2 linked regions of the Caenorhabditis elegans genome follow. The protein of the gene in region 1 interacts with the protein of each later gene in a pairwise test. Each region holds a gene or a part of one and is shown in the gene's direction. Other genes may lie near its edges.

Region 1 (4,954 bases):
GCAAAAGGAGAAATATACCGAAGAGACATTTCGACGCCAATATACACTGTAATCAATCTTCTCACCTTCACGCCAATCATCCTCTCGATCATCATCCTTTCTCGATAGTTTCAAACTGTTTTCTTTTTTTCTTTTTTTAGTGAAAGACGTCGATGAAGTGTTTGTGATAAAAAATTACCGAGCTACAAGAGAAGAAAGGGAATTTTTGCTGAAAAGGCATTCCGTTCCACTCTTTCTCCTCTATCTCTGAAATTCCTCTTCTAATATTTTTACACCCTCACTAATAACAAAACACCTCTCCTTCTTTACCATACATTCATCTCATTTTCTATCTTTTATCACACCGTTCCTTACCGGTTTCTTATTTGAGGCAGCATGTATTTCAATGAGACCTCCATGAGACGTTTTTTTACCTTTTCCCGTCTAGACCCGCATAATCTAAATGGTTTCAATGTTTCCTTTTCCATCTCTCATCGACTCGTTTTTTGTCTATTTTCTTGTCCTCGTTCACTCAAGTTGATAAGAGCATTTTGAACACATAAAAAATTTACTATGGCCTAAACCAGGCGATTTTTATTGAGTTTTCATAAGAATCGTTTTTTGTGGAACATTGTGTACTTTTTTAAAGTTAAAGAAGTATTATTTCAAATTTAATACGATTTGAATGCTCTTCGATCATTCGGCTGATTGGCATGTCTTCCTAATTAATTGGAAACTTCTCAATAGAATACCACAAAATATAGCACTACCCTTATTGATATACTTTAAGAAACTATTTCTAGGTTTTCTTCGGCTTAAAAATGTAGCACATAAATTTGGTGCCAATTACTTTTTGATATTTTAGTATTGACAAAATTTGTGATAATACCAAGGATAACCAAATATGAGCTGCCAAGATAGAGCATTAAATGTACAAGGCTAATAGGGAAAGTACCGTAATCTTTTTGTAAGGTTGACACGCTTAGCGACCAGTTTTCTGTGTGTTTTTCAGGGTTTCATTTTCTCCAGATTTCAAATATTCCAGGTTTCCTGCTCCTCAATATTCTTTTTTTCTGCATTTCAAACGGTAAATTCTTTAGTGAACGTTGAAGATAATTCCGGAATCATTTGAAAGTTGAATTCTTCAAATGAACATTTTGCACGAGACGTAATAGTTTTATCAGTAATAAAATCACTTGTTATTTTTGAAAACTAGATAACTTCTCTTCTCTTGAAAAACTGTGGAATAAAACAAATAGTTAAGTAAAAACTGTTCTTTTGAGTAGGTAGCATAGGAACATCCACCTATTTTTTTTTGTTTGATCTGGTTCTAGTTTCTAAAGTAAACATGAATAAACTTAGAATCTTTGATGAAAGTCATTATCAATGTTATAACACGGAACTAGGTCTCCTTTGTCAAATGAACTGAGTGTTTCTTCTTAATTATGTTGTTGTTTCTTTCTATTGAATTGCAAAACAAAGTGTTCTAATCCATCGGGCGCCAGTTCGGTATACTACGAGCTTCTGCTACCATCTTTCTGTCTCCGCGCACCTTCATCATTTTGTCTTTCGCCCAATGTCAACAGACCTTTTTTCGTCTCCCTGCTTGCTCGCTTGTGTTCTTTCTCTTTGACAGTGCAGCTTCTTCACCGATCGACTCGGATCACTTTCGTTGTCTATAACCTCTCTGATTCTTGTGCTTTACCGTCGTGAAGATCCCGCGCAGTTCGATTTTCAAAGGCGGGGCCTGCACAGACACAGTTCATTTCAAATTGGGACACTACGAGACGGTCTCTCTGTTTCTCGTTTTACTTACTTTTTCATTTGAATTGAAATCTTAGTTACATGGTCCCAAAAAAATCGACAAAAAATTTATATACATGACTACAATTTTCATATTTTTCTTTGCAGAGCTTGTGGGCCGTTCATCACGCGGCTTCTCCGCTGAACGGCAAAAACGGTTATGCAGAATTGTTGAAATGCAGTGGTCAAGTAGTATTATTTTACTCTTCACATTTCTTATCATTTCCAATGCAAAAAACCAAAAGACCACATTGTGCGGGACATGTGACAAGGATTCATGTCCAGATGTTTCAGGATGCGAGCAATTGAAAAAGGATCAGTGCGATTGCTGCGAAGTGAGTAATTTAAAATTTTGATAGAAAACGAACTATGGTTTAACAATTCTTTAAAACTTATTTTTAAAATTAATTTTAATATTCTAGTTCCTCAGTTTTAATTTTCTTTTTAAAATTCCAGAACATTGAATGTGAGCTTTTGAAATAATTTTCCACAATTTCTCATGACTAAAATTCTAACTATTATCATAAATCCCCAATAACTTAATTATTATTGGACAATGATCAAATGAACAAATGAAAGGATCAAATGCTCAGTGAAACAACTGAATAAAGATGAGCTTTAATGTATTATGCTACACAGTCAAATCAGTACCAAAACGAAGAACCGTTTGATAGAAACGCATAATTCAGATACCGTGTATCCTCTTAGAGCTCTTATTCCTCTTATTCCTATAATGAAATTGCACATAGATAGGTTCCCGATAATTAGTACTTTTTTTACTAATAGAGGAAACACGGTACATTAAAAATAATCCTAATTGCTTTGAAAGTGGTTCAACTTTCTAAGTTTCAAATGATAATAACTGTCCCTTAAATCTTACTTTCGGTTTTTAAACCGCGGTTTTAGTTATAATTTTGTTTCTACAAAAAGAAATACACTGAATAAACTTAAACATAAGTCAAAAGTCTATAAAAAAGTATGTGCGGTCTTTTTTAACGGCTTTCAAACAATAAACAAAAAGTTATACTTGCAGGTCTGCATTCGACAAATCGGTGAAACTTGCGACGGGCCTGGTCTTGTTTGTGATTCGCATCTTTCATGTCATCAGGAAAACGATCTTGATGGTTCAAGTCGATGTAAAGGTATATTTTCTTCAATATTTCAAAGTCCCTTTGCATGTTTCATTCGATTTGAAAGAACTTTGGTTGTTTTTTCGAGGTCCAGAATGCTTCCTAATTAAAAAGAAAAGGGTGCTCTAGAGTTACTATTGGGCTTATTTTATTGCTGAAATTTGATAGGGTTTCTTCTCAGTCTCTCTATCTCTCTCTCTCTTTCATTTTCTCTTCCTATAAAAAATGACTTCTCAAAATGGTGGCGGTTCTCTTGTGCTGAGGCTTCTCGTGTGTGCTCGCCGGACGACGCAATCCACCCTGCTCTCCCGAATATACAATTTCTATTTACTTTACTTCACTCTGCCCGCAGTTTTTTAACCAAAAAGTCCTCTATGTTGTGTCCGCAGATAGGGCGGCTTGCAAAGGTAGAAAATGGGTTGGACTAACTTGAGAATTGAAACGATCTTGTTGTGGATAAAAAATCGGACAATGTAGGCAATGGGGATATCAAGTAATTGAAATATTGCAAGGATTCTGAGCATACCAAAACTTGAATGTTGTTAAAAAATACTTAGATTGTTCAAAAATAAATTGTTTTTATCAATTTCTTTCAAGATCTAGAAAAGGAGTGAGCTAGAAAATTCTTGATTGCGGCATGTTGTTCCAATGTTTGGTAATTGGAAGATTTTAAGCCATCATTAAGCACCTCCCAACTCCTTTAACTCAAAATGAAAAGTTTATAGATTATTAAAACATTTTCTACATTTTTACTGAAATATAATGGAACAACGAGCCACGATCGGCCTTGTTGTAGAATTTCCGTCTCAACCTGATCTCGAATTATTTTATGCTCAAGCACATTTGGTTTTGTCTGGATTTTCAGTTCAAAAATGTACTCCTTCCTGTATTTGTCTATTCCGTGTTGTTTCGTTCAAGATGCCATCAAACTTTAATTCAATTTTCGAATTATGATTGCATAGGAAACAGAAAATTTCAAAAAAAAAAAACGGAACGAATGACTAACCAATTGCGCGACACCGAAAAAGAACAGAGTTTCGAGAAGTGTCTAACCTCTGTCTCCCTCAATTGACTCCGCCTACTTTGTCTTCAAGTGTTGCATAGAGTTGGCCATATGCGGGACGACGTAAATCATTTCGATAATTTTTTTACGGAAAGAAGAGCTTGGTGTCTTGGAGATTAGTAATGGTTAAGCTTCTTTTCATGAAATTTTTTTTTCTATTTTTGTCATCGGCAAATCTTTCTGCTTCTCATTTGAATTTGAAAATGTCTTAGTATATATCAAAAATTATGTGTACATACTTTGAAATTTCAAAATGGCTATTCCCGACATTTCTGTGCTTAAATAACAAGGAAAAATCAGAAAAATTTGATATACAAAAATTATTTTCAACAAATAAAAATAAACTTGTTTGAAACTTCAAAATAAAAATGCCTTTCATTATTTTCTATATTAACTGCAATGAATTTGGTTTCACTATGTAATATCTGTTGTTTCAATTTAGACAAACCGAATCCATTGCTTATAATGTATAAATTGTACTTTGTTTTTCTGCATATTGTAACTTGCCACTTCCATAAAACGCCTTTCATCGTAATGTGTACCAGTTGATTTTTGCTTTGAAATGCATAAAAATGGTTCATATGCCTTGACCAACTTGAAATTGACCCTGTCATCTGCAACTTTTTTGTTCTTCAGTCATCACCAAGTATCTTCTCGGTGTCCACCTGATCAGATGTTCTCATGTTTTCAAATCCTTCTTTCTTTTTTCCATGTGATTTTTGTGTATTTTTGTGCTCTAATCCTCTTTCTCCTACTCACTATATTTACAGCTCGAGAATGCAACTAGTCGTCTGCGTCTTTCTACTTCTCTTCTCATTTGTCAATTTTCTCCGAACGGAGCAATCAGGTGTGCTAGAAGGCATTCTCTTCTTGAACAGATATTGTCAAAAAGAAATTAATAGAGTCAAAATAAGTGACAAAGGGGGTGATGGCGGTAACCACAGAACAGAAGTTTTTGTTGACAAACGGAATCGAACTG
Region 2 (4,628 bases), 8.3 Mb from region 1:
CGTTTTTTCTAGTCAACTCGCGCGTGTTCATTTAATCCAAAAATCCACTACAACTTTGTGAATTTCGTTAGATTTTCGTTTATTTTTTTGTTGGTTCGAAATATTGATTTTGTCTCGTCATTTAGTCGTATAATTTTAGTACTCAAGTGTAGTTTGTAGTTTGTAGTGAAACTGCCCATGCTGTCCCATTTCGGTTTGATCTACCCCCCAGATCTACAAGAATTGCGGGAATTTAGACGCAGAGTTCTCAAATGATTTTCAAAAACTTGCAGAAATTTCAAATTTCCTATACAAAAATATCTGAAAAACTGATTTTCCTGTAGAAAAACGTCTGAAAAATCGATTTTTATATGTAAAAAATTTCTGAAATTTCGAATTTCCTATATAAAAATCTCTAAACATTTCACATTTCTTATGTAAAAATGTTTGAAAAAGTGATATTCCAGTAGAAAAATGGCAGAAATTTCAAATTTTCTATGTAAAAATGCATGAAATTTCAAACTGTTATGAAAAAATATCCTAAAAATATGATTTTCCAGTATAAAATGTCCTAAATTTCAAATTTTTTGTATAGAAATCTGAAATATTGAATTTCTCATGTGAAAATATCTGAAAAATTGATTTTCTAGCAGAAAATGCCGGAAATTTTGAATTTTTTAGTACAAAAACGTAAAAAATTTGAACTTCCTATATAAAAAATTCTTGAAGTTTCAGATTTCATGTTTAAAAATGTCTAGAAAATTGATTTTCCTGTAAAAAAAACGTTTGAACTTTCAAATTTTCTATGTAAAAATGTCTAAAATTTCCATTTATTCATTTAAAAGTGGCCGAAATCCTGAATTTCACAGTTCAAAATACCGGAAAAATACATTTTTCAGTCGAAACATGTCTCAAATTTTGAATTTTTTTATATAAAAAATTTCTGAAAAAAGTGATTTTCCAGTAGAAAAATGGCAGAAATTCTGAATTTCCTATGTAAAAATTCCTGAAATTTCGAATTTTCAGTGTAAAAATATTTGAAATTTTGAGTTTCCTGTAAAATAATGTCTCAAAATTTGATTTGTCTATATAAAAAATGCCGTAAATTTCCAATTTCCTATGTAAAAATATCTGAAAAGTTGATTTTTCCTATGTAAAATTGTCTGAAATTCATAGATTTTTTCTATAATTTTTTTTTGGAAAAAACAGTTCAAACTACATATTTAAACTTGAAAACATATCAAAAAATATTTACTTTGAACAATAGTTTTTTCCCGAAAATTCCATGTTTTTTTGCAATATTTGCATATTGTTTTCAAGTTTTCTGTAACTTCGAATGTTGTTTTTCTTTAAACTCCCCATTTTTTCCCAGCAATTTCTGCAAAATTTCCAATCTTTTGACCCCAAAAATCATCAAAACACAGACATTTTTTTTTGTTTACTTTCTCCTTTTCTCTCTCAAAACATAATGTTTTCCGCACTTTTGATGTCTGATTTCTCGATTTTCTGGTTTTTTTATTATAATGTTTTTCCTGAAACTTTATGTTTTGGTTCGCATAAAAATGCTATAAAATGGCGTGATTTTATAGTTTTCCAGAGTTTCCGAGTTTCGGAGCGATGCAGTATATTGTGCTGCTCAGCGTTCTGCTCATCGGAGCAAACGCTCAACTTTCAGCGACAAGAGGTAAGTTTTTCCAACCTAAAAGTGTACCTAAACCCCTTTCAGACCAAGAATGCAAAGAAAACGAGAGCTTCCAGACGTGTGGCACGGCTTGCGAGCCGACTTGCGGGCTTCCGACTCCGGTGAGCAGATTTTGTTGTCAAATTCCGGCTTACAACGTGGTTTTTGCAGACTTTTTGCACACTGCAATGCGTCATGGGATGTCAGTGTAACAGTGGATTCTTCCGCAGAACTTCGGATAATCGTTGTGTTGAGCAGAAGGACTGCAATGTTGCGGCGAATGAGACGATTCCAATTCCACCACCAGGTTAGAAGGGGACACAGACTAAAATTTGGGCCGGGCTACGCAGTCTCGGAATCTGAAATTTTGGGTCCGCTAGTACATCAGAGTTTCCAGACAAGGCCCAATCTCTAAGGCCGCACTGGCCCTACAGACAATGGCCCGGAGTTCGAAACGGGTATCTAGACCCAGAGCTTGGGGGTATCAGCCTCCTGACTTTGTGGGCGCCAAGCCCAGAGTTCAAGGGTCCCAGGCCCAGAGTTCGGGGGTACCTGCCCCAAATTTTGGGGATACCGAAAGACTAAATTTTGGGCCGGGCTGCACACGGAGTCCTGGAATCTGATGTTTTGGAGCGCGGGGTCCGCTTGAAAATCAGATCTTCCTGACAAGGCCCATTCTCTAAGGCATCTCAGGCCCTACAGACACTGGCCCGGAGTTCGAAACGGGTATCTAGACCCAGGTACCAGCCCCCAGAGTTCATGGATCTTAGGCCCAGAGTTCAGGGGTGCCAGGCCCAAAGTTCAGAGGTCCCCAGCCCAGAGTTCAGGGATACCAGCTCCACAGTTCAGGGTCCCCAGCCACAGAGTTCATGGGTTCCAGGCCCAGATTTCGTGGGTACCTGGCCCAGAGCTCGGGGACTGCCGGACCCAGAGTTAAAGAATACCAAGCCTTGAGCTCCACGGTAACAAGCCCAGAGCTCCACGGTACCGAGCCCAGATCGTGGGTACCAGTGCCAGACTTCAAGGGTAACAAGCCCAGAGTTAATGGGTCACAGGCCCAGAGTTCATGGGTACCAAGCTCAGAGCTTGGGGTACCGAGCCCAGATCGTGGGTACCAGCGCCAGACTTCAAGGGTGCCAAGCACAAACCTACCAGGCATCCTAAAGCCTCCAAACCAAGACCCCCGACCCCAAACCCCTCTAACCCCCCACCAATTTCCAGCCACCAACCTCACATGCCCAGTCAACGAGGTATCCAACGAGTGCCACAACCCATGCACCGAGAAGAAGTGCCCACAAAAGAATGCTCCACAGGTGAACTGCTTGATGGCCTGCCAAGTCGGATGCTCCTGCATGGACGGATTCGTCAGAAACAACCAAGGAGTGTGTGTCAAGGAGGCCGAGTGCCCAGCGATTGGTAAGTACTCTAAAAATTGGACGAAAAAATGCACCAGAATTGCGCCACCGCACTGCAACTTTCCAGGCTCTCAAACCTGCGGAACCAACGAGGAGCCCAACCAGTGTCACAACGCGTGCTTCGAGAAAAAGTGTCCGGTTAAGCCCCAGCCACTGGTAAACTGTATGGAGAAATGCGACATCGGATGTTCCTGCAAAAAGGGATTCCTCCGGAACCGCCAGGGACAGTGTGTGAACCCTACCGAGTGTCCGGCTACTGGTGGGTACCGTTTTAAAGGAAACTAGTTAGAGCCAGTGATTCTAGGCTCCACACTGACTTGCTCCAAGAATGAGGAGCCCAATGACTGTCACAATTCGTGCTCCGAGGCAAAATGTCCTGTCAATCCACAGCCATTTGTTAGGTGCATGATGAGGTGCGAAAAAGCATGCTCTTGCAAGAAGGGACTCGTTAGGAACCGGCAGGGACAGTGTGTGAAGCTTGCAGAGTGCCCACCGACTGGTTAGTAGGGCTGAAGCCTAGTTCTAGTGGCTTTAGGGGTCTCGAGTGAATTTTCGGGCAAAAAGTCATGTTAAATAGGCTTCTGGCAAAGTTTTGATGAAAATATCTAAGAAAATTGAGCTGAGCTCAGTTTTAGAGAGTTTTAGCAAGTTTGGTGTCTTGAAACGAATTTTTGCGGCATTTTTGACTCCGCTGTTGATTTTTAGAACAATTTTGCGATTATGAGCAGGTTTGCATCAAAATTGATGTAAATCTAGGCCTTTCAACAAAAGTTTTAGTTTTTGGACCAAAATTTCGGTGCAAAAAACGACTTGACCCCTTTTTTCGACAAATCCGGAGCAATTTTCCTATTTTGGGGCAGTTTTGAGCAGAATTTTTTGATTTTCCCCTACAAATGTGGTTTCCAGGCAAGACTGACACAAACCCATGTGCCTTGGTACTCTGCAAGCCCGGTCACCGATGCACCATGTCAACTGGCCAGGCAACTTGTGTGCCAGGTATCATTTTTTCTGTCCGCGGGCGCTGGTTTGGTGCGGTTCTTTGCTAAAATTCTGAGAATTTGGTGTCCTGAAATGGACTTGGATGGAATTTTGACAAATTTGTGGATTTTCGGAACGATTTTCACATTTTGGGACAGTTTTGGACCAATTTTATGGGGATATTGGCTTTTGACATACTTTTTGGCAGTTTTTTGACGAAAACGTTTTTTTGGCACACATTTTGGTTTAACGTGCGAGTTTCAACAAATCTGCCAACTTTCGGCACATTTTTGAATCAATTTTGAAGGTTTGGGGTTGTTTTTGACGCAAAAATCGGGATTTTAGCTTGTTTTCATGCCAAAATCATGATGCAACGACGTAATGACTTGACGCAATCCTGGTGCATACCCTGCGACTCAAAATATACGAATTTTCCGACTCTAACATATAAATTGTTTCCAGGCAGCACTGACGAGAACCCATGCAACTTGGTGGACTGCCGTACCGGTCACCAATGCTCCATGTCAACTGGCAAGCCGACTTGTGTACCAGGTATCGCTTTAGGATTTGGGGAA

Evidence for each region. The genes of interacting proteins can lie anywhere in the genome.
Region 2: the proteins of crim-1 (region 1) and Y69H2.3 interact in a two-hybrid assay, tested with the Caenorhabditis elegans proteins (2 studies listed by BioGRID).

Annotation. Positions count from the first base shown.
Region 1 is NC_003283.11:10,329,049-10,334,002, reverse strand, and holds the start of crim-1 (Cysteine-rich motor neuron 1 protein-like), read left to right. Parts: upstream 1-1,890; 5' UTR 1,891-1,958; coding exon 1,959-2,117; intron 2,118-2,815; coding exon 2,816-2,924; intron 2,925-3,166; exon of another isoform or gene 3,167-3,306; intron 3,307-4,749; exon of another isoform or gene 4,750-4,752; coding exon of another isoform or gene 4,753-4,822; intron 4,823-4,954.
Region 2 is NC_003283.11:18,661,065-18,665,692, reverse strand, and holds the start of Y69H2.3 (Follistatin-like domain-containing protein), read left to right. Parts: upstream 1-1,566; 5' UTR 1,567-1,596; coding exon 1,597-1,663; intron 1,664-1,705; coding exon 1,706-1,782; intron 1,783-1,831; coding exon 1,832-1,967; intron 1,968-2,881; coding exon 2,882-3,076; intron 3,077-3,142; coding exon 3,143-3,334; intron 3,335-3,379; coding exon 3,380-3,574; intron 3,575-3,981; coding exon 3,982-4,071; intron 4,072-4,515; coding exon 4,516-4,605; intron 4,606-4,628.